Bombyx mori: one gene and its partner. The protein of the gene in region 1 binds, or shares a complex with, the protein of each later gene. Links are inferred from orthologs where the notes say so. Each region holds a gene or a part of one and is shown on either strand. Other genes may lie near its edges. The genes, in order: RpL6 and RpL27.

Region 1 (4,384 bases):
TTTCGGTCCATATAAATAATTATATGGCACCTACCTATATATCGCAGTACTGCGAGTTGACAACCCTTACAAATATCCCAATTTAACCCTTAACCGTGTCAATTTACCCCGGACGCTGGGTAAATTGGGACGGCCATTATTTTACCGATTATTTCTTTAAAATGAATAATTAAAATTATGTAACGGTTTTTATCACCTAGGTACGTTCAAGACTCAACTTATTTCTTTGGTTGAGCAGTGACTATTTAATTGGAACTATTATAAAATTCAATCTGAAGGTCGATTTTGTCCCTATTTACCCCATTGTACGGTATTTGGAATTACCTATTGTTTTTTTTTTTAACTAAGTCACATCAGACAGTTCAAGGTTAAATTGAAAAAAATACGTCTACTTTTGTAAGTTATGGACCGTAAAGTAAATTAAATTCTGTAAGTAATTATTATAATCATTGTGTTTTGTAAACAAGACAATTTTCGAATTTTAAAGTTGATGGGTATTCTATTTTCATGCAGATATTTATTGACATATTTAAAAAATAAATTTCTAGTTGTCTCATACAACACACTATACTTCTAGCAATTGTAGTCAACAATTAGGGCAGAACAAAGTGGTTTCAACCAGATTTATACACAAATGAATAGTTCCATTCGATCACGCTCAAACCATAGTGGCTATTTATGAAAATTGTACCTCTTCGGAGTTTCACAGTTAAAACTAACACATTGAGATTAGTAAACTGTCAAATTACTTTTTTTTAAATGTATATAGCAAACGCTTTAGAGTAGATTTTGAAGCACTAAAATACTATACAAAAAACACAAAAACAGCGGCTAACTATTCATGCAGCGTAATCTGTTCCGTTAGAATTAAGCAGACCATCGGAAGCTCATTCACGTTAGTTCCAAGAACTAGGTCGCGTTATGTTTATTATATACATATGTTAGATTCACGTAGGAAATGACTCATCCTCGACGTATATAGGATTTACTGCAATTTTACAAAAGATCACCGTTCGACCTGCGTCAGCTGGTGTTGCAACAGAAATGAAGCTTAATACAGAGATGAAATTTGAAAAAACATTATTAATTGCATTACAATTAATGTATTGTTAACAAGGAAAGCGTACATTAGGCTGGTGGCTACGGTGCATTAAAAAATGTTTTCGTTTACTTGAGACGTTCGAGCCGTAATTGTTGATACTGGTGTTAGCGAAATCATCACTGAATCTTTTATAACCGTCCGATGGCGAAGACGGGCTCCTCAGAGAAGCCATTTTTGCAAACTGAATTCTTTTGACGTTCCAAATGAATTTGTTTCTTGACATTTGTTTGGATGCGTTCAGATGTTGCTCTTCACGTGGGTTTCTTTTTCTTTTCTTTTTTACCTGGAATTGTAGTCGTCATTATCTAAAATATAGAAATTACTCAATTGAGAATTTTTACTTCAATTAATCTTTTAAATTGAACGTTTAAAATACAGATTAGTGTGTGCACAAAAATGTTTGAAAGACAACAAAAATCGGTAATGTAATCGATGTGAAAATAAATGAGTAACATCACTATGACATTATCCATAAACAAAAAAGTCTGCATAGATTCCTTTTTCTTGAACCCGGTTTGAATGTGAGTTGGTGTTGTTTTTAATGAAAATAAATCCTTTTTAATTGATTCCAAATCAGCCGTTTTCTTCGTTTTCGTGCTGGAATATCATAGTGGATCCTTCAAACAAGTGGTATTGTGAAATATTTTAGTGGAATGTAGGAAGTTCTAAATTATTATTTTGGTTAGATAGGATTGTGACGTTAAAGTGTCGTGAATTGATTGAATATAATTTGTAGTGTAATGCCTGCTTATTATGTCTACAAATTCATAACCACGAGTAACGATAGTGTTACTTGTTTGCAAGGAAACACGGGCTGGATAGACATAACCTAAGTTTTGAACGTCAAGTCAGGTGTTCGGTCTAAAGATTGTGTTTTCGATTTACAGATGGCTCCAACACAGCCTAAAGCGGCGGCCAAGCCTGCTGCCGCACCTGCAGGTGCGGTGACTAAGAAAAAATCTACGAAAAAACCCAGGAACTATGATCTGGGCAACGGAGTGATGCGTTTCTCCAAATCCAAGATGTTCCACAAGAAGGCTAGTTCCTATTTTCTTAATAAACAAATATAAATCAAAATTGTCGTGCTATTTGTTTAGCAAATCTAAAATCAACTATACCAATAAAAATACAAACAATTTTATAAACAAAAATCCATGTGCACTTAGGTTTCGCTGTTAATCTAATCTTTTTTTTTTAAATACCTAAACCCTAAGTATTTCTGCCCTGAAGCAGTAATGCATTTCGGTTTGAAGGGTGAGGCAGCCGTTGTAACTATACTGAGACCTTAGAACTCATATCTGATTCTCAAGGTGGGCATTAAGCTGTAGTTGTCTATGGGCTCTGGTAACACGTAACACTTGGTGGACCTTGAGCTCGTCCATCAACCTAAGCAATTCAAATTAAGATTTAACCAAAACGCTACTATATAAATAGTGTTATACACTTTAAACAAACACATCAACTAGACTTTATTTTCTCGAGTATAGTCATGCATTCACTGATGGCATTCATGGACTTTTCCTGAGTTAAGTTATATGCTGCATTCACATTATGGAAGAAAAGTAAAATATTTGTACATTCTAATTTTGAAATCAATTACAGGCTAAATACAAGTTCATTGGCAAAAAGAACCCTAAGCCTGAGAAGCCCAAGAAGCTGACTGTTGTTGTAAAGCAGATTGGAGGTGAGAAGAATGGGGGAACCAGAACAGTACCCCTCAAACGTAGGAAGTCCTTCTACCCCACTCAGGAGAAGTAAGTACAATAAGGATAAGTAGGTAGTGGCTTAGCAATGCCCCTGACATTTCTGACATTGATTTGCGATGATGACCATCTTAACGTCAAGCGGGCCATATGGCCTGTCTTTATTACCTCTGTAGAGTGGCAAAAAAGTAAGCAATTGGTGAAAATACTTATAAATGTATACTATTACTGACATTGGGAGGCCACATGGCCGGCCTGTCTTTATTTTCCTTGTAGAGTGGCAGGTCTGGCAAAAAAGTAAGGAACTTGTGAAAATACTTATAAATTTATACTATTACCTACATTGGGAGTATTCTGCAAATTTTTGCATTCCAATTCCATTCCATTATTGTGTAGATCAGATATATGATTCAGGTTACAGACCCTTTTGTGGCCCATAGTTTCAAGAAAGGAATGTATAGAGGTAAAACTAATTGACACAAATGCCGAGATTGTGATATTATTGATGATGTGCAACATATATTGAATGTATGCATACTAAATGAGCTTGATACTTGCTAGCCAATGATAATGATATGAGAACATCATTATAATAACATTAATATGGTGCTGGTATCTCTTGTTAGAAAGTGCCTAGTAACTATGCACAATCAAGAAGGCACTCAAATATCATGGAGCAATGTCTCTTAGCCTTGACATTTTATTATTATAGTTGTGTATTAATCAATTAGCCTCTTATTGTATGTAGAATTATGCGGTAACATCATTACCATTAAATAAACTCCTAAATAAAAAAAATAAAAAAAAAGGTAAAAAAATCTGTGGGTTTAATGCTGGGTGTTTACATGAAATTCAATTAATTGAAAACTGTCCCTGAGAATATGTTCAATTACCTTAAACTTGACAATTTTTTCAAACATTAAATAACTACCTTTATTTGTTTAAGTTTGAGAATAATAGATTAGCAATACAATTGAAGTAATTATGTTCTTGTATATCAGGAAGGGTGATAAATTTAAATGGGTTTTTATAATAATGTTAGTTGTACTGAGGGGACATTGATAAGGTGTGGAAACAAACACTGAAAACTACAACGGTAATAATGTTCCCAATTTTTATTCCAGAATCCGTGCCTCATCTGGTGGCCGTCCATTCAGCAAGCATGTACGCAGGATCCGACCCAACCTGAAGATAGGAACTGTTTGCATTCTCCTCGCTGGTAGACATGCAGGCAAGAGGGTTGTACTTGTTGGAATTCTGCCCAGCGGTCTGCTTTTAGTTACTGGACCTTTTGCAGTATGTATAATAATCATCCTTTTTTTGGTTTCTTTTAAGGGTATACAATTATACACAAAAAAAATTGAGACACTGATTTGGCTATCAATGTTGATATAGTTACAAGTTTGTAAGCGGCAGCTTGGCTCTGACCCTGGCATTGCTAGACGTCCATGAGTGACAGTAACCGCTCATCATCAGGCGGACCACAGGCTGCATGAGGCAATAAAAAAAGGAAAATATATATAGTTATTCAGTGCGGTATTTAATTGTGCTGTTGCTGATAGCTACAATACTTTGTACT
Region 2 (4,255 bases), on another chromosome or scaffold:
AAAATGCGCCACCCACCTTGAGATCTAAGTTCTAAGGTCTCAAGTATAGTTACAATGGCTGCCCCACCCTTCAAACTGAAACGCATTACTGCTTCATGCCAGATATAGGCAGGGCGGTGGTACCTACCCGTGCGAACTCACAAGAGGTCCTACCACCAGTAAAGTATTCGTAGCGAAAACTGACAAGGGCCAGGATGTATATTTATTCTAATAGTGTAAATTTTGCACTAAGCAGAAGAATTGACACATTCAACTTTGATGTATTGAAGGCGAATTGTATATTATTTCGTTTTTGAAAACCAATATTAGGAGACATGAGTAGTGGTCGTTCGTTCATAGTTAATGGATATGAGATGCCAGGGAAGCAAACTCAAGACATTGTCTTTCAACTGGGCTCTTCTCAATCCTTTGAAGGACAAGTCTTAGCACTTTGGACACTAAAGGGAAACTCTTTTTAAGCAAACGCCAGTAATGCAAAAAATAAAGAGATACTAAGAACATCTCAAAAAATTCAATACATTCCTTACAAATAAGGTTTTAATTAAACTCTTTTATTATGAAAAAAATATAAGTAAATAGTGGATAGGTTGTTGTTTCAGTTTGTGCAATAAAACAATGTATTCATTACTCACGTAACGTTTATTTTCTTTTAAAATTACACTTAGAACCTAAGCTTCTGGAAGAACCACTTGTTCTTCCCACTTTTGTACCTCTCTTCAAAACGTACTCGCGTGTTGAAACGCAGCTTCTTACGTTTTGCAGGGTCTTTCAGGTCTTTTGCGCTGAATTTTTCAAAGCTGAAGTCAACTGTATAACGTGTTGGCATCAAGTGATTATAGTTTACAACCTGAAACAGAAAACAGATATTTTCAAATAACTATACAGCAATGATTGTACCTTTTAATGCAGTCCAATAATGATGGAAATTTAAAAAATCAAGAGTTATTACAAGTCCTTCTATTGAATTAAGAAGAAGAAGAATTGTTTAGAAACTCAAGACTTGCACTTTTTTAAATACATGAATACAGAAAAATCTAAAAACATGATTACATCAGTACTTATAATAGTTGATTAAAATTAAAGGAAGAACAGAAGACTATAAGAATCACTAACAAGCACTGTTTAAGATTGTTCGTAAAAATCAAGATAACAAGCTTTTGTTTTTATATTATTATATTAATATAAATCTCTAATACCGTATGTAATAATTGTCAATTGTTTAATTCAATAAGGGACTATGAATCCTTTTCTTTACTACCTCTTGCAATATTCTGTTTTAATAGAAAAATATCCTCAATTATACTTTACATTTAGTGGCAGGGTATGTTGAGTGCCCATTCTACAAATATTATAATCCTCCTCATTTCTAACAGTGATACAGTCTATTTAAAACTGTATGGCATTATGCAAATGCAATCGAATTCATATCACACACTTTTGTACTGTACTGTGTTAAGTATCTGCACTAATATTATGGTATTTATGGTAAATATGTTAAACACTATTCGGGCTGGGGTATATTTGCCAAAGCTAATTTAATAACTGAACAAAACACAGTATTAAAGTCTACAAAAAACAAATCTGTACAGTCATCAAAACACATATATCATTTATTAGTTAAATATTTCATAATAAAGATATTTATAGTTAATTGAAAATTAATGAATGCATTTTACAAATTTGGAAAATCACAATAATGCTGCTCTATTGTAAATTTTTCATTCATGTCTTCTATTCACACAAAAATAACACAAAAGTACTATAAATTTTAATAGAAATCCATTGCTGGACACAATTTTCGACCAAGATTTGCTACACTGACCAGTCCCATGTCAGTTTTATTAACTACACCTGAAATTTTATAATACATTTGAGCAATACTCGTGGATATTATTTTCAATCATGAAGATGATGTTGCCCAAAATTGTTAATAAAATGGTTATCGCATTTATCCTGGTTTGATTTAAATTTAAAATAATATTTTGTTTAGTTTTAGAGTGTCCTGTACACATAATTAAACCTTCCTTTATTTTGGTTCAATTTGGCGTTTTTTGTCATGATATTGTATCTGATCAACACGAGATTACTTAAACCCTAAAAGTAGCACTAATTGAATTTCTAAATATTTCATTTCAATAACTTTGGTCTTAGTAACTTCAGTTCTATCTATTTAGAATAGTTAAATATGGTCATATACTATATTATATACTAATTAACCAGCCGTTAGTTTAATTCAATATTAAAAGGGAATCTTACCTTCACGAAAGGCTTTATCTTGGACCTCTTGTGGATTTTATTCTTTCCCATCCTCTTGTGCACTTTCCGGGGGTACCTGTCGATACCAGCGACGAAAGCATGCCCGTACGGCTTGTCGGAGGTACCTTCGTCGTAATTCTTGACTACGATAGCCTTGCGACCCGCGTACCGGCCACTTAAGACCAGCACTACTTTACCCGGCTTCATTATCTTACCCATCTTGGAGGGATCTGAGAAAAACAAAACTAACCTTAAGATTGGTATTTACAAATTCACCACCAGTATTCAAGGAAATAAGGCTATTTAAACACTCCTTTATGCTTAAACACTTCGTGATTGCTATTTGAGTTTTAATCTACTAGTAAATCACATGTAATGCACTGAAAACAAATTGAAATGTAAGAATAACACAGATTCAAATTCAGTTTCTACGTAAAAGTTTGCAGTGAGAAGGAAAAATATTCACGTTCTTACTATTAGTATCTCACAAATTTAACATACTTGTACGTTTTTAGTTAATTTTTAAACCAATTTTATGGATTTTTCGAGATTATGTATACAACAAAATACAAAACTCACATTCCCTTTACTCGTTGACATAGAAAGAATTAGTGTTACCATTAACAAATTTACTCCAATTTGACAGCTGATTTTTTTTTGACACTTGAAAGATTTCCGATTTTTACCGATGCTCAGGACTTTTGGCGGGAACGTGAGAAGCGAAGTTGTGTGAATTATTTTATTTTGTCTATTTAGTGTTTCTTCAGGTTTAAATGTGTAATAACGGTAGTTTATTAACTGTTTAATATTTGTGAATTCGCGTACCCGTCCTGGTAAAGCGGCAAGGCCTCCGAAACAACCGAATTTATTCAGTTCCAAAAAATCTTACCTGAAGATTAAAGTAGGCTTACCGTATGTTCCTTGTGTAGTCTGTCCGAGATGCGCCGCTTTCGCCGTTGGCAAGCAGAGTAAACTGTAATCCTCGTAATATAGTAGTTAGCCCTTTCTTCGAACATTACAATCCCGATTTATTAGACAAGGAAGGTAGAGCATCGATTATCTGCATCTTGAACTTATCCGTGAGAAGGCAGCGTCAGTAGGCTTCGTTCATATCTAGTCTCTATAGGCGCCTTCATAACAGCAAGGTAACACGATAGTGCCCTTATAGTAGGCACCACTGACCAGTGTGCTTAGACCAAGTTTTTTAACGTTCTCGATAGCGTAAAAGTTAACTCAAATATGTATGAAGTTCGAACGCTTGCCTACGTTTGCCGCTAGGGGTGCTGTTCCAACTCCATAGAAGTTTGAGTTAACTTTTACGCTATCGAGAATGTTAAAAAACTAGCTCTAAACACACTGGCTCACCGAGCTGCCACCCTCCGCCGTCGCCCTAGATAAATCCTGACGAATTCACCTATTCTACTGTCGGTGATGTTGGACGGTTCTGCTAACGCTAGCAGCGACCAAAATATAGGTCACCGACTCGCCGAAGAGCTCGAAGCGATACATAATCTATAGCTTTGACTAAGTTGTTGCTATATCTTGAAAACGATCGCAATTTTGACCCTGTAGCATGACTCATTCGCAAATAAAATTTTTAGGCCTCAGGAGACGTTCAGGTAGTCTTTAGCAAATCTCTACCCTTTCAACTAAGTCCGAGCTCGCTTATATCCGAAAGGTCATGAAAACGCCTTTGGGTAAACATCCATCTTTCCTCCCAAAGAAATAAGAGACTAAGAGAATTATTAAATATGGTAGCCCATATTTTTTTATTGCTTAGATGGGTGGACGAGTTCACATCCCACCTGGTGTTAAGTGGTTACTGGAGCCAATAGACATCTACGACGTAAATGCGCCATCCCCGGTCACCGTTCTCGTCAAACCCGTCGCTTGCGACGAAGGGCTCGACGAGTAAATTAACTCTCAGACACAGCCCACTGAGTTTCTCGCCGGATCTTCTCAGTGGGTCGCGTTTCCGATCCGGTGGTAGATTCTGCGA

What was found.
Region 2: RpL6 (region 1) and RpL27 share a complex: the UniProt entries of both Caenorhabditis elegans proteins name them as parts of the large ribosomal subunit. The link is inferred for Bombyx mori from reciprocal best matches to the Caenorhabditis elegans genes rpl-6 and rpl-27.

What each region holds. Positions count from the first base shown.
Region 1 is NC_085122.1:1,367,283-1,371,666, reverse strand, and holds the start of RpL6 (ribosomal protein L6), read left to right. Parts: upstream 1-1,566; 5' UTR 1,567-1,732; exon of another isoform or gene 1,733-1,839; intron 1,840-1,989; coding exon 1,990-2,139; intron 2,140-2,704; coding exon 2,705-2,856; intron 2,857-3,929; coding exon 3,930-4,101; intron 4,102-4,384. Other genes in the region: two pore calcium channel protein 1, read right to left, coding at 1,172-1,325. UniProt on the Caenorhabditis elegans protein: Component of the large ribosomal subunit.
Region 2 is NC_085114.1:13,912,820-13,917,074, forward strand, and holds RpL27 (ribosomal protein L27), read right to left. Parts: upstream 2,846-4,255; 5' UTR 2,836-2,845; exon of another isoform or gene 2,723-2,835; intron 2,637-2,722; exon of another isoform or gene 2,487-2,636; 5' UTR 2,476-2,486; coding exon 2,257-2,475; intron 848-2,256; coding exon 662-847; 3' UTR 621-661; downstream 1-620. UniProt on the Caenorhabditis elegans protein: Component of the large ribosomal subunit.